Linked DNA regions of Saccharomyces cerevisiae S288C. The protein of the gene in region 3 interacts with the protein of the main gene of each other region in a biochemical or structural test. Each region holds a gene or a part of one and is shown on either strand. Other genes may lie near its edges.

Region 1 (8,166 bases), on a different chromosome or scaffold from region 3:
CCAGTAAACTCACAGCAGGAAATGGGAAACCTGACACGGAGAAGCTTACAGGAGAACTAATTTTAACATACGACGATTTCATTGAACTGATATCTAGCTCAAAGACTATTTATTCGAAGTTTACGGACCATTCGTTCAATTTGAACCAGATACCCAAGAACGTTTTCGGGTGTATTTTCTTCGCTATTGATGAACAAAACAAGGGATATCTGACGCTTAATGATTGGTTTTATTTTAATAATTTATTAGAATATGATAATTATCATCTCATTATTCTATATGAGTTCTTTAGGAAATTTGATGTAGAGAATTTGAAGGCAAAACAAAAAAAAGAGCTTGGTAGTTCGTCGTTTAATTTAAAGGCTGCAGATGATCGAATTAAGTCAATTAATTATGGTAACAGATTTCTAAGCTTTGATGATCTTCTTTTGAATCTGAACCAATTCAAAGATACTATCCGCCTGTTGCACGAATCTATTGATGATAATTTTGTTAAAGATAACAAATTACTACTTGATTGGAATGACTTTCGATTTCTGAAATTTTACAAATGTTATCATGAAAATGAAGAGTATTTGAGTTTAAACTCTCTGGTCACGATTTTACAAAATGATCTTAAGAATGAAAAAATATTTATAGGTTTTGATAGGTTGGCACAGATGGACTCACAAGGGCATCGTTTAGCCCTAAGCAAAAATCAACTCACCTATCTTCTAAGGTTATTTTACTCTCACAGGGTGTCTGCAGATATATTTTCCTCCTTGAATCTATCAAACACCGAATTACTAAAAGCGGACAATAATTCCATTCCGTACAATGTATTCAAGGATATATTTTATTTATTTCAAAATTTTGACCTACTGAACCAAATATTTCACAAGTATGTTACTGAAAATAATTTGAATGAGCAGGATATTAGGGAACAAATAGTTACTAAAAATGACTTTATGACAGTTTTAAACGCCCAGTATAACAAAGTAAACAATATCATTGAGTTCTCTCCTTCCCAAATCAACCTACTATTTTCTATCGTCGCAAATTCAAAGGAAAACAGAAGATTAAGAAAGAGAAATCAAGATCGAGATGACGAGCTATTAAATGATCACCATTATGATTCAGATATTGATTTTTTTATCCATAATGAGTATTTGCATGGAGTAAGCAGATCCAGAAAAAATTTAGAAAGTTTTAATGACTATTATCATGATCTCTCGGATGGATTTGACCAAGACTCTGGTGTTAAAAAAGCTTCAAAAGCGAGTACTGGCTTGTTTGAATCTGTATTTGGAGGTAAAAAAGATAAAGCAACGATGCGTTCTGACTTAACAATTGAAGATTTCATGAAAATTTTGAACCCAAATTACCTGAACGACTTAGTTCACCAAATGGAATTGCAAAAAAATCAAAATGAGTCATTGTATATTAATTACTACTTTTATCCAATTTTCGATTCGTTGTACAATTTCTCCTTGGGTTCTATTGCGGGTTGTATTGGTGCAACTGTAGTATACCCAATAGACTTTATAAAAACAAGGATGCAAGCCCAAAGATCTTTAGCCCAATACAAAAACTCAATTGATTGTTTGTTGAAGATTATATCCCGCGAAGGAATAAAAGGTCTCTACTCTGGCTTAGGGCCACAATTAATAGGAGTTGCTCCTGAAAAGGCGATAAAATTGACTGTCAATGATTTTATGAGAAACAGGTTGACTGATAAAAACGGCAAGCTAAGCCTTTTTCCTGAAATTATTTCTGGCGCTTCAGCTGGTGCATGTCAAGTTATATTTACTAATCCGTTAGAGATTGTAAAAATTAGGCTACAGGTCCAATCCGACTATGTTGGTGAAAACATACAACAAGCCAATGAAACTGCCACTCAAATAGTCAAAAAATTAGGACTGAGGGGCTTGTACAATGGTGTAGCCGCATGTTTAATGAGAGATGTTCCATTCTCTGCTATTTATTTTCCCACTTATGCACATTTAAAAAAAGATCTCTTTGATTTTGATCCAAATGATAAAACAAAGAGGAATCGATTAAAAACATGGGAGCTTTTAACTGCCGGTGCCATTGCTGGTATGCCAGCTGCCTTCTTGACTACTCCTTTTGATGTTATAAAAACAAGGCTCCAGATAGATCCTCGAAAAGGTGAGACAAAGTATAACGGTATATTTCATGCTATCCGAACTATCTTAAAGGAAGAGAGCTTTAGAAGCTTTTTCAAAGGTGGTGGAGCCCGTGTCCTAAGAAGTTCTCCCCAATTTGGGTTCACTCTGGCCGCCTATGAATTATTCAAGGGCTTTATTCCCTCCCCCGATAACAAATTAAAAAGCAGAGAGGGTAGGAAGAGATTTTGTATCGATGACGACGCAGGCAATGAAGAGACAGTAGTTCATAGTAACGGTGAACTCCCACAGCAAAAGTTTTACTCTGATGATAGAAAACATGCCAATTATTACTATAAAAGCTGTCAAATTGCGAAAACATTCATTGATTTGGACAATAACTTTTCTAGGTTTGACTCTTCAGTTTATAAAAACTTTCAAGAGCACCTAAGAAGCATTAACGGGTGATTTATTTTCTTCGTCAGTTTCTCTGTACATATATATGTATATATTTACTTATTATAATTCATAGCAAAATATATGTTTTTTTTTTTTTCTTATAGTGAGAAAAATTACTAATGATCCTGAGATCAATTTCACTGTAGTTTTTACTATAGTGCAACAAGTATGTTGTTCTTAATAAGTGTAATGAAAGCTCTGAGGTCAAGTTTTCTTTTTTACAGAAAAGTTATATTGGCCTATTTCATAAATAACTGGCGGCAAGAAGCTAATGTAATATAACTCGATATCGCTTTTAATGCCATTGTATGTCATGAAAAGAAAATAAATAGAATTGAGATGAATATATATTCTTTTTTCTAGTTTTGTTCTATTTGTACATTGATTTAATTTAATTAACGAATATACAAGGGTTTTGCGAATAGATAGAATTAAAAAGCTTAGTGATGTTTATATCCCACTAATTTTCTTCTTCCAATTATTTCACCGACAGAATAAAACCCTATCAACTGAATACCATATGCGCCATATTTTAATAGTTCATTCTTTTGGATGTTTTTTAAACACGATAAAACTTCTGTAGGCTTTAGAGCAAAGTTTAGGCTCTGCTTATAAAGGTTCGAATACACTGATTTGAACTGGGCAACAGTTGGTGGTTGAAGACCCTCTTTTAAATAAATCTGTTTTGAAATCTCGGCACCGACTTTACCATAGTATAAAGCCTTTGATGACAAAAGATTTGCTTTAGAAACCAACCCACTGGTATAATTTTGGATCCTGCTTAGCATGATGAATTGATTAGCGTTCTGAAATATGATTTATCGGCAGGTTTATCTTGTCGATTTGGACTGGAGTAGAAAATATGAGGGATCTTTGCATCTTCATTTTTCGGTCTTTAAATGTAATCATCCTTCGGGATAAATTTAGTGCGTTTAACAATATTTTCTTTCAGCCAATCAGGAATAAGAAAAAAGCCGCCCACTCAATCGAGCCTACATACAGTATTGAATAGTGTTACAAAGCATAAGGATGTAAAAAATACAAACTTGCTATAATTAATTAGTATTTATTAATTGTTACGCAGGGAATGATTGTAGTAGACAGCATCAGACACGGTTATTCAGGCGAACTGATCTCCTTACACCCTCGCCAAGGACAATGACCTTGTCCTCTTGTTGCAATCTTGACAAGGCTTCCTGGATATCAGAAGACTCAACTCTATCTTGAGAGTGTTCATTGATTTGTTTTATAAGCTCATTGAATGACATTGAGTCTGATGCCTGATCCTTCAAAACATTCATAATTTCCCTTGACAAATCCTCCTGTAGTTTTCTCTGAATAACTGATTTACCTGTTTGAACTAAATTCATGTCGATTTTACCGGTTTTAGGGTCTGTTGCATAATCTTTTATGGCTGATCTAATTAATCTAACGGCTTCTTGAACATCCTCCAGCTCTACGACGTTTTTCAATTTCATTTTGGCGTGCGCCTCAGCCAAACGAATCATACTTTCAAGTTGTCTTGTGGTAGCTGTGATTCTCTTCTCATCGGATCTCGAATCGTCACCCATCTTTCTCATTCCTACATAAGCACGAACAAGCTCAGTCTTAGCGGCCTCGGTGATTATTGGGTGTATGTGCTCCTTTGCATAACTAATATACATCGTTAAAAATTCAACTGGTAGCACGTCGTCTTGAGAAATATGTTCGGGCTTATCTTCCAGGTAAAGATTTGTTAAGTGTTTGGCTAGTTCTCTGTCATTTTTCTCATCAACCTTATCAAGGACAAGATAGACCAGATCGAATCTCGAAAGTAGTGGGGGCGGTAGATCAATATTTTCAGTCACAGGCAAATTGGGGTTGTAGCGTGAACCAATTGGGTTAGCACTGGCCAAAATAGAACTTCTGGCATTAAGTGTTGTGATAATTCCCGCTTTTGCGATTGAAATAGTCTGCTGTTCCATGACTTCGTGCAAGACGGACCTTGTAGAATCACTCATTTTATCAAACTCGTCAATACAACAAACACCTCCATCAGACAATACTAATGCACCACTTTCCAAAACAAGTTGTTTTGTGTCGACATCCCTTGTAATATAAGCAGTTAAACCAACGGCAGATGAACCTTTACCCGAAGTATACACACCACGAGGAGTAATTTTGTGAACGTATTGCAAAATTTGCGATTTGGAAGTAGAAGGATCCCCACAAAGTAAAATATTTATGTCACCTCTATAACGGCCACCCTTGGTAAAGGTTTTATTCGTGCCGCCAAATAGCTGAAGTAATATACCCTTCTTGACATCTTCTAGCTCGTAAATACTTGGGGCAATAGAGCGGGCTAATAAACTGTATAAATCTTCTCTTGCCGCAACCTCGCGAATTTTTGCTAAATCCTGATCAGTAATTTGTCTTACTTCTTCGACCTCGTTATGATCTACCTTGTTCTGCATTAATTCTTGTTCAATAGTAGAAGTATCGACGTCTAACCTCTTATCTGAAACTTTTTTAACGTGGACCACATCGACGTATGTTTTATACAACGACTTTAGTACGCGTTGCCTGGAATTAGCTCTAATGGGGATGGACCTGAACGTGCCAGTCACCTCAATACGATCGCCCGCCCTGCAAGAATCCACTAATTCATCGTAAACACATAATGAGATAGAGTGAGGCGTTTGTCCATCAGGCACAAAGTCTGGAGTTTCCTGTAACTTAATGACTTGTTTATCTGCGAATGAACACCTGTTGTGAATCAGTGACATGGAATTGGGTTCATTACAATCAATACGTTCACACCTAGCGGGCTCTTGTATAACTCCTCTATCAATTTCCACTGCCATTGTATGATCGCAGACGTTGCATTTGAAAAACGCTACCTTCATATCAGGGATAACCGGAGTTGATCTCAGGACAAGACCCTTTAAGTTTATCAATTTATCAATATCATTTGGATTCAATTCGCGCATACCTTTACAAGAACCTACATTGTAAGGCCTTACTTTATAAAACTTGGTCTCTATTTCATCTAAATCGTAATCCAAATTGTTGTCTACTATTAAGGAAACCATACAGTCCTTGATAGTTTGATCCATGATAGAAATCACTTCTTGAGGATAATTTAATAGTTGATGGTATAAGTCTTCTGTTTGCTTGTAAGCAAGTAAGTTTCTAGCATCCAAGTTTAAATTAGAGGTACCAAGTTCTCTCATTTCATTAAGCTGCTTGATATAGTATAGTTCTTCGTCGGTAGTATTGTTAATGAATTCCTCCCTTTCATCCAATATTTTACGGAATTTATACTTGAAAGACATCAAAAAATTACGAAAATTAGTTGTACATTCCTGGATACTGACGTTGGTACCCCAAATTATTCTCAAGGGTTCACTGGCTTCCGATGGAGGAGCAGAAGAAGAAGAAGTATCCAAAGTATTCACGCCGGATCTAGTATCAAAATCCACAATTCTTCTTGGAGAGGATAAATCAGATGTATGAATATCATTTCTTCGCATGTGTACACGGTTTTGACCATTACGGCCTAAAGAAGAGGAAGAAGTAGGCAGTGCTCTATCACTTCTCAGATCAGAATGATATCTAGACCTTCCAGAAGCGCTCGCAGAAGAACGAATTCTGCCCTGTCTGCCTTGAGATTGGAAAACATCGGAATTTTGTCTTTGGGAAGAAGATGGAAAATTTAGTGGAGAAGAACCTATAGCAGCTCTGATGTTTCCCTCTCCCTGACTTAAGTTCTGGCTATTGTTGCGACCATAGATATCACCTTGTGATGAAGAGGAGCTATAAAATAGAGCTGGGGAAGAAAGCTGTGGTGGAACAGAATCAGGATTAGGCACAACGGGGGAGCTGGAGTTATTATCCTCTTTTGTTGGAGAGCTAGACTGTTGAGACATTTTAAGTTCTTGAGGTTCAAAAGGATCCTAAGTTGGGCTCTACCAAGAGTAAAAATAACTGAAGATGGGTTGTCTTATTTAGTATTGAAGATGTTCTTAAAGAAATAAACAGTGCCAATGCGAAGTTGCTCTTCTGGTCTCTTCTTCTCTTTTCATTTTCGAGGCGGCGAACTAGCATTAAATTTCCCGAAAGAGTAAACCAAGTGTTTGCGTTTTCATGAATCTACTCGTAATATTCCAAAAAGAAGTGATATAAAACATGCAGTTGGCTGACACAGATAAATGTAGTTCAGCTTATATAGAAGATTTTCTTTTGTTGCATGCGAGAAGTGCTGGATTTTATTCAAAGTCCAAAAGGCTTGACTGTCGATCGTAGTGTTGTCGCCTTTTTCATGTATACCAATAAATAATCAGTTTATCTGTATGTTTCTATATACTAAAGATCCGTTCAAGTTACAAAGACGGGGTTGGCATATTTGCATTGGCTCGAAGATTCTCCCAGTTTTGTGCGTCTTTGATTACCCATTTGCGGGGCAAATCACCCTTTCCAGAACTTCTTATGGCATATTCCTTTATGGTGTTTTTAATTGTTTGTTTGTTGTATTGCGGCAAATTTTTCTGTGCTATTTCAGTCACAGTACCCAAAGAAAACGTGCTGTCTTGAACCCCATCAAAAAGTCGAAGTAAGTCCATGGGGTCTGTAATCATTGCTTTTTGTTTCTTTTCGGGACTTTGAGATTGGCTAGCGGTCTGTGCCTGTAAGTCGGAATTACTTCTTTTGGATGGTAGAGACGATGTTTTGGGTTCTTTGAATGGATCGATTGGCCCGTCGGTTTCTATGATAACTTCGGCCTTGAGTTGTTGTAAGTATCGTTTATTTTCCTCTGATAAGTTTTCAAAATTGGATTTTAGGCATATTGTTGGTATCAATGGGCCTACAAATTTTCTCTTGGCGCAGGGTAGGCCATCCAAATCACTGTTTTCTTCGCTGTCTAGAAACCCGTCAAACTCTCCTTCGCTAGGTACGTCTTCATCATCTTCCTCCTCCTCCTCCTCTTCACCACTTTCTAAGTTATCGACTTCGCCTTCTTCTTCTTCATTAACCCATTCAACGTCAGAATCGTAATCATAATTGAATCCAGTACCTTTCGTAGAAAAGGGATCGTTTGGTGGCAAAGTAAAGTCCATAGAATAGGTTCCGATAAACGGAGGTCTAACATTTTCGTAGAATTTTATATATTTGTGCGGAACTTGTGCAAGTAAAGATTGGAGCTCATCGTCTGTTTTCTCCTTCAAAGGCATTTGCTGTAGAACGTCAACAGCTTTACGTTTAATTTTATGTCCTCTAGGTAATCTTCTAGACTGTAACCAATTCAATAAGTCGTCACTACTTGTTTTATCTTTACTGTTCAGTAATTCATCATCTATTTTTCTTTTGCTACCTTCCAGCTCCACTTTTGTTAGTTTCCACTTATTACTGACTCTAACTCCATCTTTAGCATAGAAAGGTAGAAAAAATTTTTCATAATCCGACTTTTCAACCACAGGCGTATTAGAATCGCTTAGTTTTTTAAAGAAGTTACCAATACGGGATTGTGCTCTTTCCTTGGCTTCTTCTTTCAAACGTATTTCCTCCTCCTTTTTCAATCTTTCCTCCTCTTTTCTTCTTTTGGCTTCTAATCTGGCTTCTTCCT
Region 2 (8,365 bases), on a different chromosome or scaffold from region 3:
CCCCTTTGAGGATTCCTCTACCCTCGAGGAGAACTTTTAGTATATTCTGTATACATAATATTGTAGCCTTGATCAACAATGAAATGCCTACAATCATCTTAAAATTCACCAATCTCTCAGCTCTTATTTAAGCTTTGTTGAGACGAGAGTTAGTTATCCGACAATACTATACAAGACATTAACATCATTTTTCGTGCTGTTAGGGTGGTGTCTTTTCATTTGTTGCAATAAATGATAAGTAGTTTACCGTCCATTAACATGTGCATTAAATAATAGCATTATGTGAACATAATGTATATTTAACTAAAACTATTATCGAAGAAATCCGAAGAACTCATCCTTGTTAGCTCAGTTGGTAGAGCGTTCGGCTTTTAAGCGCATTTGCTTAAGCAAGGATACCGAAATGTCAGGGGTTCGAGCCCCCTATGAGGAGTTCTTCTTTATTTTTTTCCCGGTTCACTATTTTTCCAAGATTAAACATGGCTCATATACACCATCCAAAAATCTCTTAATTAACCTATAACCATTGTTCTCCTTCACCTCATTCAAGAATCTGGCTTCTGAATTGCCATTGATAGAAGAACAGTACTAAATTGCGCCGGAATAATGAAGAACATCCGGGTTACCTTAGATGTCTTTTTTTCCTTTTTTTATCACATTTTTCACTCTGCACTTTTTCACTTTCTCGAGGTCCAATCTATGACTAATATTAAGCGCATTTCATTTGAAGATATGTGTATCGCAATCTTTTTTCTTATCTTGTAGACCCTCCTATACACATCTCTAGACTATATATTTGGTTTGGTTATATCTTTAAGAACTTATTTCTTTTTCTTATTTTTCCATTCCACTAAGTTAAACCCTGCAGTTGATACAGACATTGAATAGGACAACCGATCGTTACTATCATGACTTTACCTGAATCAAAAGACTTTTCTTACTTGTTTTCGGATGAAACCAATGCTCGTAAACCATCCCCATTGAAAACCTGCATCCATCTTTTCCAAGATCCTAACATTATCTTTTTGGGTGGTGGCCTGCCATTAAAAGATTATTTCCCATGGGATAATCTATCTGTAGATTCACCCAAGCCTCCTTTTCCCCAGGGTATTGGAGCTCCAATTGACGAGCAGAATTGCATAAAATACACCGTCAACAAAGATTACGCTGATAAAAGTGCCAATCCTTCCAACGATATTCCTTTGTCAAGAGCTTTGCAATACGGGTTCAGTGCTGGTCAACCTGAACTATTAAACTTCATTAGAGATCATACCAAGATTATCCACGATTTGAAGTATAAGGACTGGGACGTTTTAGCCACTGCAGGTAACACAAATGCCTGGGAATCTACTTTAAGAGTCTTTTGTAACCGAGGTGATGTCATCTTAGTTGAGGCACATTCTTTTTCCTCTTCATTGGCTTCTGCAGAGGCTCAAGGTGTCATTACCTTCCCCGTGCCAATTGACGCTGATGGTATCATTCCTGAAAAATTAGCTAAAGTCATGGAAAACTGGACACCTGGTGCTCCTAAACCAAAGTTGTTATACACTATTCCAACGGGCCAAAATCCAACTGGTACTTCCATTGCAGACCATAGAAAGGAGGCAATTTACAAGATCGCTCAAAAGTACGACTTCCTAATTGTGGAAGATGAACCTTATTATTTCTTACAAATGAATCCCTACATCAAAGACTTGAAGGAAAGAGAGAAGGCACAAAGTTCTCCAAAGCAGGACCATGACGAATTTTTGAAGTCCTTGGCAAACACTTTCCTTTCCTTGGATACAGAAGGCCGTGTTATTAGAATGGATTCCTTTTCAAAAGTTTTGGCCCCAGGGACAAGATTGGGTTGGATTACTGGTTCATCCAAAATCTTGAAGCCTTACTTGAGTTTGCATGAAATGACGATTCAAGCCCCAGCAGGTTTTACACAAGTTTTGGTCAACGCTACGCTATCCAGGTGGGGTCAAAAGGGTTACTTGGACTGGTTGCTTGGCCTGCGTCATGAATACACTTTGAAACGTGACTGTGCCATCGATGCCCTTTACAAGTATCTACCACAATCTGATGCTTTCGTGATCAATCCTCCAATTGCAGGTATGTTTTTCACCGTGAACATTGACGCATCTGTCCACCCTGAGTTTAAAACAAAATACAACTCAGACCCTTACCAGCTAGAACAGAGTCTTTACCACAAAGTGGTTGAACGTGGTGTTTTAGTGGTTCCCGGTTCTTGGTTCAAGAGTGAGGGTGAGACGGAACCTCCTCAACCCGCTGAATCTAAAGAAGTCAGTAATCCAAACATAATTTTCTTCAGAGGTACCTATGCAGCTGTCTCTCCTGAGAAACTGACTGAAGGTCTGAAGAGATTAGGTGATACTTTATACGAAGAATTTGGTATTTCCAAATAGAGAGGTAAATACGTTGGAAGAATATATATAAGGTGAAAAAAGGACGTACGTATTTTTGTATTGCTTAAATTTCGAAGTATTTTTTCTTTTTGTAAAAGACTGCAAGTGGAAGCCAAAATATAATATTTTGTTTTTTCATTAAGAGTACAACTTTATACAACAATTATAACTTGATTTGAGAGCCAAGTTATGTAAGATATTTTTCTCCCACAAAGAGAAATGCACACGATAGGAATTTACAACGTGAACGATACTTGAAACGAAATATGAAAATCCGCAAGAGTGCACTGAATTAGCTGGAATCCTGTGGTTCCAATTGATCCAAAACCTCACAGTTTGGATGAATAACATAAACAGTTTTATTATTTTCATTTTCCTCATTCTCAAGATCTCTTAAATTGTGTCTGGTACCATGAATCTCCATTAAAATCCTATCTTTGACCAACCTTTTTATGACTTTGAACGCTAATCTTCTCTCTTCCCAATATTCTGCTAACGAACCCAAATCATTTTCCTTCTGTAATAAATACCAATCAACTATATCCACAGCTGTTAGTTCTTCTGCACCCTCCCTATCTACTTCAGCAATCTTTCTAACGATCATGTTCATCATGGACACATATTTATCATACGTCACCGTTGTTTTCTTCTTCTCGCTTGTACCTGGACGAGCTGTAGCTTCGCTTTGTCCTTCTTCTATATCTGCTGGTGGCTCACTCGTAATTACACCTGACCCAGTCCCATCATCATTGTCATCATTGTTTCCAGAAGCGGCGTGACTTTGACTCTCTATGTTATCAAATTCTTCATCCATTTCCACATCATCCACATCAACACGAATAATACTTTGCCTTAAAAGATCGTAAGCTTCTGCAATGAATGATGGAGTAATTTCATCGACACAATTAGCCCTCGCAATAGCTTCTGATAATCTAATCATACTTTCAAGTTGCCTAACTGTGATTCTATAACTCGATCTACTAAATCCCTGGGCATCATCCTTTCTCAGTTCCTTATACTTCTCGACTAAATAGGAACGGGCTTCTTTCGTTAATATTGGTTTAAAAGTACGTGCATATTTGATATAACGACGTAGTTGTTCTGCACTAAATGGCGGCTCAATGGCTTCGTCTCTTTTCATGTGTAAGTCAACGATATGAGATGCCAATTCGGTATCAATTTTTTCGTTACAGTCATCAAGAATAACAAAAAATAAATCAAATCTGGACATGATCGGTGCGGTCATATTTAAATTACCCCTCAGTGATAGTTTCCTATTGTATCTTCCACCTACCGGGTTGGCAGCCGCTAGAATTGATGTTCTTGCATTTAAAGTAGCGTGAATACCAGCTTTAGCAATAGAGATGGTCTGTTGTTCCATAGCTTCATGAATGGCAACTTGATCTGAAATATCCATTTTATCAAATTCATCGATACAACAAATACCGTTATCAGCAAGCATTAAAGCACCTGCTTCAATTGTATAATCACCTCCTTCCTCATCTCTCACAACCGCAGCTGTTAAACCAGCAGCCGACGAGGCCTTACCGGAAGTGTAAACTGATCTTGGTGCAAATCCCACTACGTATTTTAAAAATTGAGACTTAGAAGTAGAGGGATCACCAACAACACAGATGTTGATATCTCCTCTTAACTTAATACCTTCTACAGTACTCTTATGAACACCACCGAGCATCTGAAGCAAGATACCCTTCTTTACGGCTTCATGGCCAAACACAGCTGGAGCAATAGATCTGACCAATTTATCATAAATATGTTCATCCTTTACCATTTCCTTCAGCTCATTTATTTCATCTGAACTCAAACTGTTCAAGAATACTTCTTGATCTCTTTCATTATCTTGGTATACATTATTAGCTTGTAAATTAGCAGCCATCTGTAGTTCAGTTTCTCGGTTGTTAGAATTTGCATCAGGGCTACTTGCACCAATGTTTGATCCAATACTGATAACATGGCATGCCAGAAAGCTAATCTTGTATGTCAAATCACGAACACCAAGAGAGCGTAAACCAGTAACACCACTATTCAAACCTTCAGTAGTCTTCGAAATACCTCTAGTATCTAATGTTGAACTTGGCTTCACACCTGGTAGCCCCAATTGTGTAACATCAGGTACTACAATTTCCACACCCGTAAATTTGCAACGGTCACCTGGCTTGGCTCTTTCGACACTATCACCTCGAAGAATGACGTCCAGCGTACGCGGCATGGAGCCTGTAGGTATTTCGTTAGCATTTTCTTGAATTCTGACTTTTTGCCAATCAAGAAACCTGGATCTTGTAACATTTAATGTCCAAAAGGCTCTATTTTCGCATGATGGGTTCGGGCAAAATGTCGGTTCAGTGTACTTGAAGGACTGTTCTACGTTATCTACGATAGCACGGCACATATCACACGTAAAGCTTGCCTTGTATAATTCTGGACGGACCTCAGATGTTCTTGTCACTGTCCCTGATATACTCAATAGTGAACCAATCTTTTCAGATCTTATATCACGAATTCTGTGAACTGTTGGTAGATTGAAGAAACTGATTTGAAAAACACGTTCCGTCTGTTCAGGTGACGTAGAAGTTGTTATTGACCTCGTTGCCATGGCAGATGTCCCATTCCCTGGTGCGGCTGATGATCCAGAATCTCTTGGTAGACTCGACCCATTCATATCATCGTCCTGTTGCTCATCTTCATCCGCTTGACCTTCGTCACCTTCGGATCTCTTCAATGAGTCACTTGTGTTTAACAATTCAGGTGCATACTTTCTTACTACTCTTCTTAAACCCTTTTGTAAAAAAGGCAAAAATCTGTAATATTGTTCTGAGATAGCCATAGCTAGAGCACCATTTTCTCTCATGGATAAATGCTGATAATCTATATAAATGGTGTTTAGGTCATATATTTTCATAAATTCAATTTGAGCTCTATAAACTTTTTCAACTTCACCAGTATCAGTGGATTGAACGGAAAAGTCTTCCAAAAACTGCTCGAACGCTTCACGGACTTTTTCACCAGTAACGTCATCAACTTTCTTAACGTGATTCAAAGCTCTACTTTTGAAGCTTCTGGCAGGTTCATTTCCCTCCATATCATTAGTCGCGGAACCATCGGTTTGCAACCTTTGAGAACTAAACTGAGTGGAATCGTTAACAAAAGGGCCTGTTTGTGAATTACTGACATGCGGTTGAGAAGAACTTGGGAAATGTAACCTAGAGCCTATTTGCGAATCGAGTCCGCTACTGCTTCCGAAGCCAGCACCTATCGACGATGGTGGCGGAGAGGAGTTGGAAGGTCTATTACTGCTTGGTGTGTCAGCTGGAAAAGGGGATGACATTGAAAAAAACCAGTTTTAACCTTTGGTAAGTCTATTTTTCCTATCCACCGGTGGCGAAGTGTAAGATACTCGCTGTAAATCACTTAAGAATGAAATATTTTGTTATTATTGTAGATTAAAGAAAGAAAAAAAAAAAGCTTCAAGAAAGGCCTATTAGGCGCTTTTCCTAAAAAGGAAATTTAATAGACGAACTTAGATGACAATACCAAATAGCGAAGGAACGGCAAAAGAATAGGTACACAAATGTTATGAGAACTGGAATCAAAACAAGCTATTGTTTGTCGACGAATAGTAATGTTACTAGTATATTATGTGCGGTGATAATATGATATAAATCGCGAAAAGGGTAAACCCAGTAAAAACTGAAATGCAAGATAAATAACGTAATGGGGTGATGTATGATATCGTATAAAACACAAGAAAGGATAACAGCACTATCATGCAAAATTGCTTATTTCTGGTATATTCTGGATTCCGAATGACACTTCCCTTACTGGAAAATCGAATTCAAGTGACCATTTAAATGGTCACCTATTTCTCAGGATGACCGCTAATTCTTCTCATCAGGGTTTCCCAAGTTGTTAGCAAACTGTATTGATATCTTTTTGCGGGAGTGAAACCAACTATTCAGCTCAGTATCGGATTAATCTCTCCACTTAATGCTACGGAGTTCTTCCAAACATTAGTACTGGTGCCAGTATCAGCACCACATCAACAGGTGAACTCAAAATTACATTAGTCAGGAGCAGTACACCCGTTAATCGTGGGAATCTCTGTACTGAGGGTCAACTACGTATCGCGGAACTAGGGGTCCACTAGTGTATGCGACTGCGATTCATATAACACTTTAACGTCAAAACCGTATACAGTCCTCATCCGCCTTGGGGGCCAGCATATTATATATAAAAACTCCTGAAAAACACTTACCCAGAGGTACGATAATGAATGACGCTTATGTGATTTATGGTTAACGCAGTACCCAAGACAAGTATGCAGCGTTAACTCCCAATCAAAGAAAATATAGTGGATTCTAATCTGACGAACTACGGACAGTAATTGGTATTTTTACTCATTAGTGACTTTGGTAATGCCCTATATTTCACTAGAAGGTGTCACAGTGTCACAAATTTTACATCACAGTTCCCTTTCGTAAGATCAAGAATATGGCTGACTATAGTGGACATCTTCTTACACCGTATATAGTAATATATTGCTAATATGAGCACTAGTTGATTCTTGTTCCAACAGTATATTCCAAACATGTGTTAATCACGCGTTGATACAATGTGGCTCGGCTACAAATCAGTTATTAACATCGTGAGCTATGTTTCCCTGAAATGGGGACGTTTTCCAACGAATTAGCCTTGTTGGCGCAATCGGTAGCGCGTATGACTCTTAATCATAAGGTTAGGGGTTCGAGCCCCCTACAGGGCTATTCTTTTTTTGTTCTATATGAACAGAGCTATTTCCCTTCTAAGAGTCCCACATAAAAGTGCTCTGGGGAAAAACGGACCACAGCATGTCCTGTGGTACTTGTTTCTTTCAAGTTTTTCGTATGTATTTCCCATTTTTTGATTCGCTACAACCTGTATTTGTTTTATGGCGCGCCTGGACCATATATATGTATATATTTATTTACATGTAATTGGCACAGGGAAAAACAGTGGAAGGATCAAGGTAAAAAGTATGAAACCGAGAATTATTCGCGACTTCAGGTTATCCAATCGTGTATGTAATCGTATGTAGGCAAAAGTAAATAGATATGAACTACATTTTCCTGCTTTACTTAGACTAGAGATGTGACCTCAAAGAATCTTCTCAAGTAGTATATCTGGAAAAGAGAGTTTGCAATAACGACGCCCAATTGGAAGATGGACCACCATTTAACACGATCGTTGGTCGACTCTGCAGTATTTCTATGCGTCCTTTCTCTAATAACAATATAACTTTGTTCGTCCTTGACTTCCCTGGTTAATTTGGACAACTTTCTGACAGCACTATCCAATGTATTGGTGTTTGGGTCGTCCAAATCCACATATACCACCCCATGAATGTTGAAAGTCACGTCTTTTGTCTCGATACCGGTGTTCTCGTTCAAGAAACAGTATTGGAAATGTCCCTTGTATGGAGCAGACAATGTGATTTCACCGTGCGACGTGTCCCTAACCGTTTTCAAAACTTCATGTCTTTCCGGCCCGTAGATGATAAAGTCACCAGTCAGCTGGCTACTGGATTGAGGGTTTCTATCACCGAACTGGAACGAAATGGAGAGCTCGTCACCCTTACTCAAGTCTTCGAAGAAGCATCTACGGCCATAAGCTGGAAGAAGGACATTATGGGCGGACGCCGAGAAGAACAGGAAGCAAGCAATGACAAACTTAGTAGCAAATGAGGCCATCCTTATGCGTGTGTATTTTTGTGCGGAGGGATACTATTAAGATTGCAGTTTCACCAAGTATAGCTTTTTATTTCATTATAAGTTTCGTGTCAAAATGTTTAAGCGACCCGATCTCTCAGGCTGTTTTGCACGACTTTTCTGACTTTCCTCGCGTCTTTTTTCATGAAAATTGGATTACCCGGAGTGATGATTTTCTCACAGTGATTTTTC
Region 3 (7,241 bases):
GAAAATTATGAAGGAAAACAAGACAAGACCTTACAAAAGGTAGAAAACCAGACCATTAAAGAAGCAAAAGATGCAATAATTGAACTGGAGAACATCAATGCGAAGATGGAAACCCGGATAAATATCCTATTAAGAGAGCGGGATTCTTACAAATTGCTGGCATCAACTGAAGAAAACAAGGCCAACACAAATTCTGTCACTTCTATGGAAGCAGCCCGTGAAAAGAAGATTAGAGAACTTGAGGCAGAACTTTCATCTACAAAAGTCGAAAACTCTGCTATTATTCAGAATTTAAGAAAAGAGTTGTTAATTTATAAGAAATCACAATGCAAAAAAAAAACAACTTTAGAGGATTTTGAAAATTTCAAGGGTTTGGCAAAGGAAAAAGAACGTATGTTAGAGGAAGCAATAGACCACCTAAAAGCTGAACTCGAGAAACAAAAATCATGGGTTCCATCATACATACATGTTGAGAAAGAAAGAGCCTCAACTGAACTGTCACAGTCTAGGATCAAAATCAAATCTTTGGAGTACGAGATTTCCAAACTGAAAAAGGAAACTGCCAGCTTTATACCCACGAAAGAATCTTTAACTAGAGATTTCGAACAATGCTGCAAAGAAAAAAAAGAATTGCAGATGAGACTAAAGGAGTCTGAAATCAGTCATAATGAAAATAAAATGGATTTTAGCTCGAAAGAGGGCCAATACAAAGCCAAAATCAAAGAATTGGAAAACAATTTGGAAAGATTACGTTCCGACTTACAATCAAAGATACAAGAAATAGAATCGATACGCTCATGCAAGGATTCGCAACTCAAATGGGCTCAAAATACCATCGATGATACAGAAATGAAAATGAAGTCCTTACTAACTGAATTATCAAATAAGGAAACAACGATTGAAAAACTTTCATCAGAAATAGAGAACCTGGATAAGGAACTAAGAAAAACCAAATTCCAATATAAATTCTTGGATCAAAATAGTGATGCAAGCACGTTAGAACCGACTTTGAGAAAAGAATTAGAGCAAATCCAAGTTCAATTGAAGGATGCAAACTCACAGATACAGGCTTATGAAGAAATTATATCATCGAATGAAAATGCGCTAATAGAATTGAAAAATGAACTAGCAAAAACCAAAGAAAATTACGATGCTAAGATTGAACTAGAGAAGAAGGAAAAATGGGCGAGGGAAGAAGATCTATCTCGTTTACGCGGAGAGCTCGGTGAAATAAGAGCTTTGCAACCGAAACTAAAAGAAGGTGCATTGCATTTCGTTCAACAATCAGAAAAGTTGAGGAATGAGGTAGAAAGGATCCAAAAAATGATAGAAAAAATTGAAAAAATGAGTACGATTGTCCAACTGTGCAAAAAAAAAGAAATGTCCCAATATCAGTCCACAATGAAGGAAAATAAAGATCTATCTGAATTGGTTATCCGCCTTGAAAAGGATGCGGCTGATTGCCAAGCAGAATTAACAAAAACCAAATCCTCATTGTATAGCGCTCAGGATTTACTCGATAAACATGAAAGGAAATGGATGGAGGAAAAGGCTGATTATGAAAGAGAATTGATATCTAATATTGAACAGACGGAATCCTTGCGTGTTGAAAATTCGGTATTGATTGAAAAGGTTGATGACACAGCAGCAAATAATGGCGATAAAGATCATTTGAAGCTAGTTTCTTTGTTTTCAAACTTACGTCATGAAAGAAATTCTTTAGAGACGAAGTTAACCACCTGTAAGAGAGAATTGGCATTCGTTAAACAAAAGAACGATAGTTTAGAAAAAACGATAAATGACCTGCAACGAACCCAGACTTTATCGGAGAAGGAATACCAATGCTCTGCAGTTATTATTGACGAATTCAAGGATATCACGAAAGAAGTTACTCAAGTTAACATTTTAAAAGAGAATAATGCCATCTTACAAAAGAGTCTCAAAAACGTAACCGAAAAAAACAGGGAAATTTATAAACAATTAAATGATAGGCAAGAAGAAATTTCTCGATTACAGCGTGATCTCATACAAACAAAAGAACAAGTTTCGATAAATTCTAACAAAATTTTAGTATATGAAAGTGAAATGGAGCAATGTAAACAGAGGTACCAGGACTTATCTCAACAACAAAAAGATGCCCAAAAAAAAGACATTGAAAAGCTAACTAATGAGATTAGTGATTTGAAGGGAAAACTTTCAAGCGCTGAGAACGCAAACGCTGACTTGGAAAATAAATTCAATAGGCTAAAGAAGCAGGCTCATGAAAAATTGGACGCATCTAAGAAACAACAAGCTGCTTTAACTAACGAACTCAACGAATTAAAAGCAATTAAAGACAAATTAGAACAAGATCTACACTTTGAAAACGCTAAAGTTATTGATCTAGATACGAAGCTCAAAGCACATGAACTCCAATCAGAAGACGTCTCGAGAGATCACGAAAAGGACACTTATCGGACATTAATGGAGGAAATTGAATCACTCAAAAAGGAGTTACAAATTTTCAAAACTGCGAATAGCTCATCTGATGCATTTGAGAAATTGAAAGTTAACATGGAGAAAGAAAAGGACAGAATTATTGACGAAAGAACGAAGGAATTTGAAAAAAAATTACAAGAGACCTTAAATAAGAGTACAAGCTCAGAAGCAGAATACAGTAAAGATATCGAAACATTGAAAAAGGAATGGCTAAAGGAATATGAAGATGAAACGTTAAGGAGAATTAAGGAAGCAGAAGAGAATTTAAAGAAAAGAATAAGGTTACCAAGCGAGGAAAGGATACAAAAGATCATTAGTAAGCGTAAAGAAGAATTAGAAGAAGAATTTCGAAAGAAATTGAAAGAAAACGCGGGAAGCTTAACGTTTCTTGATAACAAAGGTAGCGGGGAAGATGCCGAAGAAGAATTATGGAACAGTCCATCGAAGGGGAATTCTGAGAGGCCGTCGGCTGTCGCTGGCTTTATAAATCAAAAAAACCTTAAACCTCAAGAACAATTGAAGAATGTGAAGAATGACGTTTCCTTCAATGACAGCCAGTCAATGGTTACAAATAAAGAAAATAATATCGTGGATAGTAGCGCTGCTGGTAACAAGGCCATTCCAACCTTTAGTTTTGGTAAGCCATTCTTCTCCTCTAATACATCATCTCTTCAAAGTTTTCAGAACCCATTCACAGCATCCCAATCTAATATCAATACGAATGCCCCCCTACGTACACTCAATATTCAACCTGAAGTTGCAGTCAAAGCGGCGATTAACTTTTCCAACGTAACCGATCTAACTAACAATAGCACCGATGGAGCAAAAATAACAGAAATTGGAAGTACATCTAAACGGCCAATTGAGAGCGGTACATCTTCTGATCCAGACACCAAAAAGGTTAAAGAGAGTCCAGCAAATGATCAAGCTTCCAACGAGTGATGTAATATTAAACAATGTAATTATATAAATATGAAACATCTACATATTTTAAATGTCACTAATGTCATTACAGAGGACATAAAGTGATTTATGACACATCCGTACTAGTAGTTAAGTATGAACAAATTTTGGGTTTATTTGCCATTTTTTTTCACGCGGGTTTCTTGGATGCGCAAACCCACCTTTTCTAACACCACTAAGAAATATCAACTTTATAGGCCATCGAAGATAAAGGAACGTAAGTTTGTCAATTCAACCTCACATTTTCAACGCACATTAAGCACTTGGTTCGTGGAGAAATGAATGATCCTCGTGAAATTTTAGCGGTTGATCCGTACAATAATATTACTTCTGATGAAGAGGATGAGCAAGCCATCGCGAGAGAACTTGAATTTATGGAACGAAAGAGGCAGGCCTTAGTGGAACGATTAAAAAGAAAGCAAGAATTTAAGAAACCCCAGGATCCTAATTTTGAAGCCATCGAGGTACCTCAATCTCCTACCAAAAACCGTGTGAAAGTGGGGTCTCATAATGCTACACAACAAGGCACAAAATTCGAAGGTTCGAATATTAATGAAGTAAGGTTATCTCAATTACAGCAGCAACCAAAACCACCAGCTAGTACAACCACATACTTTATGGAGAAATTTCAAAACGCAAAGAAGAACGAAGATAAACAAATTGCCAAGTTTGAAAGCATGATGAATGCAAGAGTACATACGTTCAGTACCGATGAGAAGAAATATGTGCCGATAATCACAAACGAATTAGAAAGCTTTTCAAATCTTTGGGTTAAAAAGAGGTACATACCTGAAGATGACTTAAAACGGGCTTTGCATGAGATCAAAATCCTTCGGTTGGGCAAACTTTTTGCTAAAATTCGCCCACCTAAATTTCAAGAGCCTGAATACGCCAACTGGGCCACCGTAGGCCTCATTAGCCACAAATCGGACATCAAATTTACATCATCTGAAAAGCCAGTCAAATTCTTCATGTTCACCATAACGGACTTTCAGCATACACTAGATGTTTATATCTTCGGGAAAAAGGGTGTAGAAAGATATTATAATCTTCGCCTGGGTGATGTGATAGCAATATTAAACCCAGAAGTACTACCATGGAGACCCTCAGGGCGAGGAAATTTTATCAAATCCTTCAACCTTCGAATTAGTCATGACTTCAAATGTATCCTGGAGATAGGTTCAAGTAGAGATTTAGGTTGGTGTCCCATAGTGAATAAAAAGACTCACAAAAAATGTGGCTCTCCCATTAACATATCTCTTCATAAGTGTTGCGATTACCATAGAGAAGTGCAATTTCGTGGAACAAGTGCTAAAAGAATTGAATTAAATGGTGGGTACGCCTTGGGCGCGCCTACGAAAGTGGACTCTCAACCAAGCCTATATAAGGCCAAAGGGGAAAACGGGTTTAATATAATCAAAGGTACTCGTAAGCGCCTGTCAGAAGAGGAGGAAAGACTTAAAAAGAGCTCTCACAATTTTACGAATAGTAATTCTGCCAAAGCATTTTTCGACGAGAAATTTCAGAATCCAGATATGCTGGCAAACTTAGACAATAAAAGAAGGAAAATAATAGAAACTAAGAAATCGACAGCACTGAGCCGCGAACTAGGCAAAATTATGAGAAGGAGGGAATCCAGCGGATTAGAAGATAAGAGCGTCGGAGAGCGACAGAAAATGAAACGAACCACAGAAAGTGCCCTCCAGACAGGGCTTATCCAACGCCTAGGATTCGATCCCACTCATGGAAAAATTTCCCAAGTACTCAAGTCTTCTGTATCAGGGAGCGAACCTAAGAACAACTTACTCGGTAAAAAAAAAACTGTTATAAACGATCTCTTGCATTACAAGAAGGAAAAAGTCATTCTCGCACCTTCAAAGAACGAATGGTTCAAGAAAAGAAGCCATCGCGAAGAAGTTTGGCAAAAACATTTCGGATCCAAGGAAACTAAAGAAACTTCTGACGGTAGTGCCAGCGATCTTGAGATAATATAAATAAGTATTGGTGTGCTTTTCAGGGCCCCAAAATGGTATTACTTTTGATGGACAATGGCGCGGGTAATGATTGAAAAATTATGATGAAAAATTGAGTGATTTTGGTTGCAATATAGGGAATCAATCCTTAAAGTGAGAAAGAACAGAAGAGAACATCTTGTGAGACACAAAACGCTCCGAAAACATCTCCCTCTTGGGCGCATCCTTCATTCTGTACTCTTTACTTCACTTTACAGTCGTTTTTGGCCGATCTTTGGCAGCATCTAACGTTATTTTTAGGTTCAATACATAACAACAAGACCACGGATATCGCATAATATGGTTGACCTAATGGTGCCGGCGAATGATGACCCTAGTAATGAAACTGATTATTCTAGATCCAACAACAACCACACTCATATTGTGAGCGATATGCGCCCGACCTCCGCCGCATTTCTTCATCAAAAGCGACATAGTTCTTCGTCGCACAATGATACACCAGAGTCGTCGTTCGCTAAAAGAAGGGTGCCTGGAATTGTAGATCCCGTAGGGAAAGGATTTATAGATGGAATAACTAATAGCCAGATCTCTGCACAAAACACACCCTCCAAAACTGATGATGCATCTAGAAGACCGAGCATCTCTCGCAAAGTTATGGAATCGACACCACAAGTTAAGACCAGTTCTATTCCAACAATGGATGTTCCTAAATCTCCATATTATGTGAATAGAACTATGCTTGCTCGAAATATGAAGGTTGTTTCTAGAGACACTTATGAAGATAACGCAAATCCACAAATGAGAGCTGACGAGCCATTAGTCGCTTCAAATGGTATTTATAGCAATTCGCAACCCCAAAGCCAAGTAACTTTATCCGATATTAGAAGAGCTCCTGTAGTTGCTGCTTCACCCCCGCCGATGATAAGGCAACTTCCTTCGGCGCAGCCAAATCAGACGTTTATTAAAAAACTGCAGGAAATTTATAAAATCATAGTGGTGCAGGAAACCGAGTTACAACAAAGATGCCTTTATTTAACCACCTCTCAAACCACAGAACTAAAAAGTTTGTGGGCAATATACAGACTGAACACAGAACTGATCAAAAATTACATCAATTTCATCATCACTGCATTATTAACTACACAACCTATAAACGACTTGATTATGGGCCAAGAAATTTTGGATATTTACAGAATAGAAAAAAGATTGTGGGTTTATGGTATAATAACCTTCTTGGATGTACTAAAGAACTTTTCGAACTTTATGGACCCAGAGGTATGTTGTCAGTTTATTATATACGCTTTCATCTCTGTCTCAAATATGCTTGAGGATATACCGTTGAAATATTCTATTTTGTGGAGACAAAGATTGGGTGATTTGTCTAGAATGGCAATATCGCTGTACCCATCAGGATTCATAGATTGGAGGCTAAGCGCCGAATATTGGTATACCGAATCAATGAAATACATATATGGGTGCGGAAAACTATATTATCATATTGCCACAGTTCAACAGAACAGTTTAGAAGCGTTCGTAAACTTGGGAAAAAGTGTTTTTTGTCAGGATCCCTTCACTCCGTCTCAGCAAACGTTACAGTTATTGATTGAAAATATCTATCAATCTGCATTCATAGATAGAAGTTCTGGTAGTGCGAACAATAATGAAATTGCCCATAGAAATTCTCAATTAATTGATTATTTAAAGCATACTGAAGTAATGCTATTACCTAGTTTCCTGGAGAATATGGATTTACAGCATGTTGTGCTTATGTACTTCAAAGACAAGTTTGGTAAAGATTTTAACGGAAATGACGTTTTCGATACAAAA
Region 4 (7,843 bases), on a different chromosome or scaffold from region 3:
AATGAATGACACTGTAGCAGACTCCATTATTGCTATACTTATGAATGTGGATTCAGCTCCCGCCAGTGTCAAGCTTTCGAGTCATTCTTGTGATGATCATGATCATAACAATGTGCAGTCTAATGCACAAGGTAAGATTGATGAAGTTGAGAGGGTGAAGCAAATCTCAAGGTTGTTTAAAGAACAGTTTGGTGACTGTTTTACTTTATTTCTCAATAAAGATGAATATGCAAGTAATAAAGAGGAAACTATAACTGGAGTGGTTACCATAGGTAAAAGCACTGCTAAGATTGACTTCAACAATATGAAAATTTTAGAATGTAATTCAAATCCTTTGAAAGGTAGGGTGGAAAGCCTCTTAAATATTGGTGGTAATTTGGTCACACCGCTATGTTAAAAACAGTTACGCATACTAAGTAGACTACTTTATAGAAGTAATACCAAACCAAAATCTGGTTAGAACTGCCTTTTATTGTTTACCTTAATCACTCTTTACGTAATGAAACCTAGAGATGAAATTTTAAAAATTTTTTTTCACGAACATAAAGAATAACTCTTCTAGACCATCTCATCTCATCTCATCTCATCTCATTTCATTTCGATTCTTCTAATTTCTTTCATTGAGTAAGAGCCTTTTGTTTTGGCTGATAGTTATAGTCAATCTACAATTTATCTCACAAAAGAAATAGACTAAGCCAAAACTGCAACGAAAGATCAAAAAAATGAGCTATGAGAAAAAGTCTGTGGAAGGCGCTTATATTGACGATTCTACAACGTTCGAAGCATTTCATCTCGACTCTCGTTTATTACAAGCTATTAAGAATATAGGATTTCAGTACCCAACATTAATTCAATCACATGCTATTCCTTTGGCTTTACAACAGAAGAGAGATATTATAGCAAAGGCCGCTACAGGTTCCGGAAAAACTTTGGCATACCTCATTCCTGTAATTGAAACTATCCTAGAATATAAAAAAACAATTGATAACGGAGAGGAAAATGGTACACTAGGTATTATACTTGTTCCAACAAGAGAACTGGCTCAACAAGTATATAATGTTTTAGAAAAACTAGTCTTATATTGTTCAAAAGATATAAGAACTCTGAACATATCATCCGATATGTCTGACTCAGTTTTGAGCACTCTACTTATGGATCAACCAGAAATCATAGTTGGTACACCTGGTAAATTATTGGATTTGTTGCAAACAAAGATTAATTCTATCTCATTGAACGAACTAAAATTTTTAGTAGTTGATGAGGTGGATTTAGTGTTAACATTTGGTTATCAAGATGATTTAAACAAAATTGGAGAGTACTTACCATTGAAAAAAAATTTACAAACATTTTTGATGAGTGCAACCCTAAATGACGATATACAGGCTTTGAAACAAAAATTTTGTCGTTCTCCAGCTATTCTTAAATTCAATGACGAGGAAATAAATAAGAACCAAAACAAATTACTTCAATATTACGTTAAAGTCAGTGAATTTGACAAATTCTTACTATGCTATGTCATTTTTAAACTTAACTTAATCAAGGGTAAAACATTAATTTTTGTAAATAATATTGACAGAGGATATAGGCTCAAGCTAGTTATGGAACAATTTGGTATCAAGTCCTGTATTTTAAACAGCGAGCTACCCGTTAATTCGAGGCAACATATTGTTGACCAATTCAATAAAAACGTTTACCAACTATTGATTGCCACAGATGACACCGAGTACATAAAAGAGGAAGATGACGAAATAGAAGAAGGGCACAATACAGAAAATCAAGAAGAAAAAAGCTTGGAAGGCGAGCCTGAGAACGATAAGAAACCAAGCAAGAAAAAGAAGGTCCAAGTGAAGAAAGATAAGGAATATGGTGTTTCTCGTGGTGTTGATTTCAAAAATGTTGCATGTGTCCTCAATTTCGATTTACCTACGACGGCTAAGTCCTACGTGCATAGAGTAGGTAGAACTGCTCGTGGCGGAAAGACCGGTACTGCAATTTCATTCGTAGTCCCACTGAAAGAATTTGGTAAGCATAAGCCATCAATGCTACAGACAGCAAAGAAGGATGAAAGGATTCTTTCACGAATCATCAAACAACAGAGCAAACTTGGATTAGAATTACAGCCTTACAAATTCGATCAAAAGCAGGTCGAGGCGTTCCGTTACAGAATGGAAGACGGTTTCCGTGCTGTTACTCAAGTTGCCATTAGAGAAGCTAGGGTCAAAGAGTTGAAACAAGAACTATTGGCAAGTGAGAAGTTGAAAAGACATTTTGAGGAGAATCCAAAAGAGCTACAAAGTTTAAGACACGATAAAGAATTACATCCAGCAAGAGTGCAACAGCATTTAAAGCGTGTTCCAGATTACTTGCTTCCTGAATCAGCCAGAGGAAATGGAACCAAAGTCAAGTTTGTTCCTTTCCACAATGCTAAGAAGCGCCATTCACATAAAAAGGGAAGAGTCAGTAAGCCAAAGAATGGTAAAGTAGACCCGTTGAAGAACTTCAAATGATTAATAATATTGATATTTATTCTATATTTTATGTAAAAATCTACTTATTAAAAATGCTCTTTAGTTAAATGTGATAATATAGATGCTTTATTCGTTTTCTTGAATATAATACTTTCGCAAGAGCTAGAAAATCAGCCAATAATAATTGGTCTTACTTCCAAAATAAAAAAAGGCTTTCCGCTGACTGTAAAGTTTCTTACGATGATTTGCTTTCCTTGTTGATTGAGGGCTGCTTGTCTTACTTTTTACTCAACAGGGGTTTTTAACACAACGATAACTGAATCACCTCTTAAGAATAGTTTACTTATGAATCTTTCCCGATTAATTACATTTTTGCCCTTCTTCTCTGTCCAAAGCTCCTTCACATTTTCTAAAACCATATTACAATGCCTGTCGAAAGCTTTCACTCTCGCTATTATTTTATGATTGTTTCTTAATGAGATTATCACAGGTGTTCTTGTCACCATAGCATCATTTATCAGGGACATTGGACCATGTTTGAATTCAAATTCTTCTAGTTCCTCTAATTCTGCTCTAGAGAGTTCATGTTTTGGACGATCAATTATTTGTGAACTGGAAAGATACAAATCAATTACTTTTAAGTTAGTATATAAAAATTCACTCCAAATTATAGGATGTAAAAATGGTTAAGATCAAACATACGACATGATAAAACGGTTTTATAATACTCCTCTAATCAACTGTCAAAGGCGGGGCAAACGTGATGGCGCTTGCTATTAAGAATGATGATGTTCTAGTGATGATGTTCTTGTCATACCTTTTGAGTAAGATAATTTTCATTTGGTAGTATTACCCGTAGTAATATCACGATAGGACAAATTGGTCCCCATAAAGTCACTTCAAGAGCTCATGTACTGTAGGATTGTTCAGTGGTAAATCGACCTCTATTTTCTAATTTCTTTCGTATGTCTTTGATTTCAATTTCTTTTTTAAGAAGCTTTGAATTATTTTGATTGACGGTCATATCAAGTCTGTGCGTTTATTATACAAAAAGAATATGAGACGCAGATGAAACCTCAAAAAGTATAATTTCGTTTACAGAATTTATATAGAAATATAATAATGAAGTATTTGTAGCGAATTTTTTAGATTCATTACATGCAAACAAGTAGAAAAGGCGTCAAGCTAAGACTTTATTGTTGTCATACACCACTTCTGTAAATATTCTGTCCCTGGTGTCTCAATTGAATTGTTTCATGCTTCTCTAGGGCATATAAGGCCTTATCCAGTGCTAATTGAGAAAATCTATGTGTATCTACAAATTCTCTCCTCAAAGTTTGATAAGAAGTAGACCAGCCTATAGGTAATCTTCTTTTTAGTTCTTGTTCAAAACGACGGATTTCTGACAAAGATGTTCCGCTTGCTTGATTTAAGCCGCCAATTGGATCCTGAGACGCTGCGTCCATTGTGGAAGCTTGAAACAATCTAATAGCTTCGTCAACATGTCTCTCCTGTGCAATAGGACTTAATTCTAACTTGGCTAATGATTCTGTTATTCTAATAATAGCTTCTAATTGACGAATGGTAATTGGAATAGACGACCTTTCCGTTGACTCTAATTCGTTGATTAATAATTGCTTCCTAATGGTGACGAAGTTCGATGACAGTTTTTCAGCGGCCTGCGGTGAAAGTCTTGGTGCACATTTCAATCTACAATACGTAATGTAACGTTTCATCTTTTCAATACTAATTTCACTGCCATTTTCCTCTTGTTGGTTTTGCATAGCATTAGCATTTCCTGTATGAATATTAATAACGTGGTTAGCTATTGAAATATCACGTTCTTCATTATGGTCATCCTTAACAATAAAAATCATATCAAAACGGGATAAAATAGTAGTTTGGAAATCAATGTTGTCACCAGGAGACTTCAAATCATCATACCGGCCGTATATCGGATTAGCAGCCGCTAAAACACTAGTTCTAGAATTTAGCACTGTAGTGATACCAGCTTTTGCGATGGAGATTGTTTGCTGCTCCATAGCTTCATGAATGGCCACTCTATCTTCATCTCTCATTTTATCGAATTCATCGATGCATACAACACCACCATCGGCAAGCACCATAGCACCACCTTCCAAATAAAATTCTCTTGTCATCGGATCTCTTTGTACACTGGCAGTTAACCCAGCTGCAGAAGATCCCTTACCAGATGTATATACCGCAATAGGTGACACTTTCTCCACAAATTTCAATAGTTGAGATTTGGCGGTACCTGGATCACCTAATAATAGTACATTGATATCACCTCTTAACCTCATACCATCGGGTAATATCTTCTTGGAACCACCCATCAATAAACATACAATGGCTTTTTTTATATCTTCATTACCAAAAATAGAGGGGGCAATAGAGTTGGTCAAAATTTCATAAAGCTTCGGGTTTCTACTTAGCTGTAGAAATTCCTCTTCTTCCTCCTCAGTAAACATAGTTACTGAATTCCAAATAGAGGAGGTTTCTACATCGGACTGAATACCTAATATTTTGATATAAGGTGTTCTAATAGCAACACCACTTCCTCCATTTCCACCCCCGCTCCTTCCGGATCCGGCACCATTTTTAGAATTATAGATGGAATAAATACCTACTATAGTGACTCTCGTACCAGGAATAACTTTGTTTGTTAGGTATCGGTCACAAGTCATTGTTAAGTTTCTAGGCATCTCACCTACTGGAACCAGTTCTGGGATTTCCTGTAATTTTAAAAACTGTTGATCAATAAACTTTGAAGACTCATGGATAATAATATATGGATCAGGTCCACAATTTTTCTTGGTCGATTCATCACCAATATTCGACTCGTTTGCCATAGAAGATTCACTCTCAATCGTAGATAAGCAAGAACGTGGTAAACTGACGGTATTGCCTGTGATAGAATTGAAATTGTTGATTGTTATTGATGTTGTGTGTCTGCAATTTCTGCACATTATAGAAAGGTACGTGGCACGGGAAGATAAAACTGACGTGGATATTATAATACCTGATAAACGGACAATCTTGGAGACGTGTTCAGAATCCAAATCTCTCAATGGAATCTGATTTGCATTGGAGTTTAAAATTAATTGAAATGTTGGTAAAGAGTTCAATAAGAGAGAATCAGTATCCATACTAGTATTTTCTGGATCTTTGTCATTGTTATTAGCAGATTGAGCTCTGCTTAGAATACTTATCCTTTTAGCCACTTGTGTGATCGCGGTTTCGAATAATGGAATGATATCTGAAGGTTCGTCTGATAGTTTCTTATATATGTCTTCGTTATATCCGATCAAATGCTCCATGTTAACCGTTAAAGAATAATTCTTCACAAGGATGTTGTTCCTTAACTGATCTCTGTAAATAAATTGCGAGTCAAGTCTGAACTCCAAAATGAAATTCTTAAAGGACTTTATGATTTCAGTATTATCATCGTCGTTAGGAGATTCTCCTTGTAAAACAGGAGCACTGTATATTTCCGGTCTATCAAATGACATTATCTGGCTTCTAATTCACCAAGGAGATACTCTTAGGTTGTTCTGATAAAACGTTTAATCACGTTAACAAGTATATTCATGTTCTTTCAATAAGTTGAAAAAATTCTTCGAGATTTCGCGAAACTGCAAGTAATCACTTTTCCTAAAAGGGAAACACGCCACACACCGCATAGCAACAAACTAAATGGCTTAACCTGGGAGTGAAGAGGAGGAGAAGAAAATTAAAGGCTGGCATAGGCGGCTTAGAATAAACTGATTTGAATCAATTGTTACGTTTTTGATATTGACAGTTTACTGCTGTTAGTTTGACTGCTCTATTACGCGTTTATTTGTTTTACATCCAGAGATAAGCGGGTAGAATAAAGGGCTCTTATTCACTAAATCTGGGGTAAGCAGTTTGGAATTTAATTGAATTTTTTACTAAGTCTGGAGTATAATCTGACAAATAAAGGCCGTATAATACTTCTATGCTCGTTTCTTTGACGCTTGTTATAAGGTCAATAATTTTACTCTTTGTTTTTACAAATGCCTTACAGCCATGGTAAGAAGCTTAAACCGTCTTTGAAACTCGCAAAAACAATCTCCACTTCTTCTTTTGTTTCCTCAACAACCTCTAATTCATTTTCACCACTAGAAGACTCTACATCTGCATCTTCGTCGACATCATCTTCATCATCAGGGAAATCGGTAAGGTTTGCTGCACATTTATACACAGTCAAAAAGTTCAACACAAAATTGGCGCCTATCTCGATATCAGAAAAAGCCGCTTCAAATCTTACAAGAAATTTGCATAACAATGCCATTCCACTAACGTTCCCCTTCATTGGAGGTGAAGATCATCGTTATAGTTTAGACATTTTAGATTACAGTGATTTAGAATATGACAATAAGGATGTTGAGTATGACAACGAGAGTGACGTAGAGGATAATGCAATGCTTATGCATGATCGTAGCATGTTCATTGAAAAGGAGATTCTCTGCTTTGGTGAAGAGGAGACATTCGATATGGCAGATTGGAAACTGGTCAGTAATAATTTGAATCCATTCAAAAGTGACTATAAAGTGGACGTTACTGGGTTGGAAGACAAGATTTTCAAATACTTAAATGGACAAAATATAAAGGTTCATTCATTAGAACTATCTGATCCTGTAAGCTACGAGGATATTTGTAGCAATAATTTTGGTAACTGTCAAATCTGGGGCCTTATATTTGTCAATAATTTGAACTTCGAGAAAAAAATAGAGATAAAATTTACTTTAAATAACTGGGCAGATATTCACTATATTAATGCACACTACAACAAGTCTGTCACCCCTCATGTTGACGAATTCAAATTTATTATTGATATATCTGCGTTGAAGTTAAATCTAATATCAAAAAACTTGATTTACACTAACTTTTTTGAAAGGAAAACTACTTGTCTCCTGAATTTGCAGTTCTGTTGTCGTTATGATGTAAATGGTTTCGAATATAGATCATTTTACGATAATAATGACTATAAAAACTATGAAATAACGATCTCTTTGTCAGCAATAAATCTAAATCGTGCGGTTTCGAATTCATCGATATTTAATTCCAATCTTGGGCCTTCCAAAATGGGGGCTAGCAATGCAGAGGTTACTATGTCGAAAAATAATGAAAATTCTAAAAAGCCTCTCAGAAAATTCATTAAAGATACAGATTACTACAACGACTCCCCGTTAAAGCACAAATTTTATCAATCGTTTGAAACAAAAGCGGCTTGTAAAACCGAACCTGTATCCCAAACTTTCAAAGCTGAAACAATTGATTGTGAAATTGAACCATTTAATTATTTCTTTGAACCGCCTGATTCCCAAACTAAT

The links.
Region 1: the proteins of MCM10 (region 3) and MCM4 form a complex in vitro, tested with the Saccharomyces cerevisiae proteins (3 studies listed by BioGRID).
Region 2: the proteins of MCM10 (region 3) and MCM6 form a complex in vitro, tested with the Saccharomyces cerevisiae proteins (4 studies listed by BioGRID).
Region 4: the proteins of MCM10 (region 3) and MCM5 form a complex in vitro, tested with the Saccharomyces cerevisiae proteins (3 studies listed by BioGRID).

Annotation. Positions count from the first base shown.
Region 1 is NC_001148.4:595,056-603,221, reverse strand, and holds MCM4 (MCM DNA helicase complex subunit MCM4), read right to left. Parts: upstream 6,473-8,166; coding exon 3,671-6,472; downstream 1-3,670. Other genes in the region: AGC1 (citrin), read left to right, coding at 1-2,573; ATP20 (F1F0 ATP synthase subunit g), read right to left, coding at 3,005-3,352; RLF2 (Rlf2p), read right to left, coding at 6,926-8,166. UniProt on the Saccharomyces cerevisiae protein: Acts as a component of the MCM2-7 complex (MCM complex) which is the putative replicative helicase essential for 'once per cell cycle' DNA replication initiation and elongation in eukaryotic cells.
Region 2 is NC_001139.9:115,151-123,515, forward strand, and holds MCM6 (MCM DNA helicase complex subunit MCM6), read right to left. Parts: upstream 5,758-8,365; coding exon 2,704-5,757; downstream 1-2,703. Other genes in the region: ARO8 (bifunctional 2-aminoadipate transaminase/aromatic-amino-acid:2-oxoglutarate transaminase), read left to right, coding at 909-2,411; EMP24 (Emp24p), read right to left, coding at 7,544-8,155. UniProt on the Saccharomyces cerevisiae protein: Acts as a component of the MCM2-7 complex (MCM complex) which is the putative replicative helicase essential for 'once per cell cycle' DNA replication initiation and elongation in eukaryotic cells.
Region 3 is NC_001141.2:59,207-66,447, reverse strand, and holds MCM10 (Mcm10p), read left to right. Parts: upstream 1-3,719; coding exon 3,720-5,435; downstream 5,436-7,241. Other genes in the region: MLP2 (Mlp2p), read left to right, coding at 1-3,420; ESL1 (Esl1p), read left to right, coding at 5,754-7,241. UniProt on the Saccharomyces cerevisiae protein: Required for DNA synthesis. Required for entry into or completion of S phase. Involved in DNA replication and seems to participate in the activation of the pre-replication complex (pre-RC) and in transcription elongation.
Region 4 is NC_001144.5:689,710-697,552, reverse strand, and holds MCM5 (MCM DNA helicase complex subunit MCM5), read right to left. Parts: upstream 5,999-7,843; coding exon 3,671-5,998; downstream 1-3,670. Other genes in the region: cleavage polyadenylation factor subunit YSH1, read left to right, coding at 1-397; DBP9 (ATP-dependent DNA/RNA helicase), read left to right, coding at 723-2,507; mRNA splicing protein SMD2, read right to left, coding at 2,753-3,080, 3,171-3,175; protein phosphatase regulator PIG1, read left to right, coding at 6,524-7,843. UniProt on the Saccharomyces cerevisiae protein: Acts as a component of the MCM2-7 complex (MCM complex) which is the putative replicative helicase essential for 'once per cell cycle' DNA replication initiation and elongation in eukaryotic cells.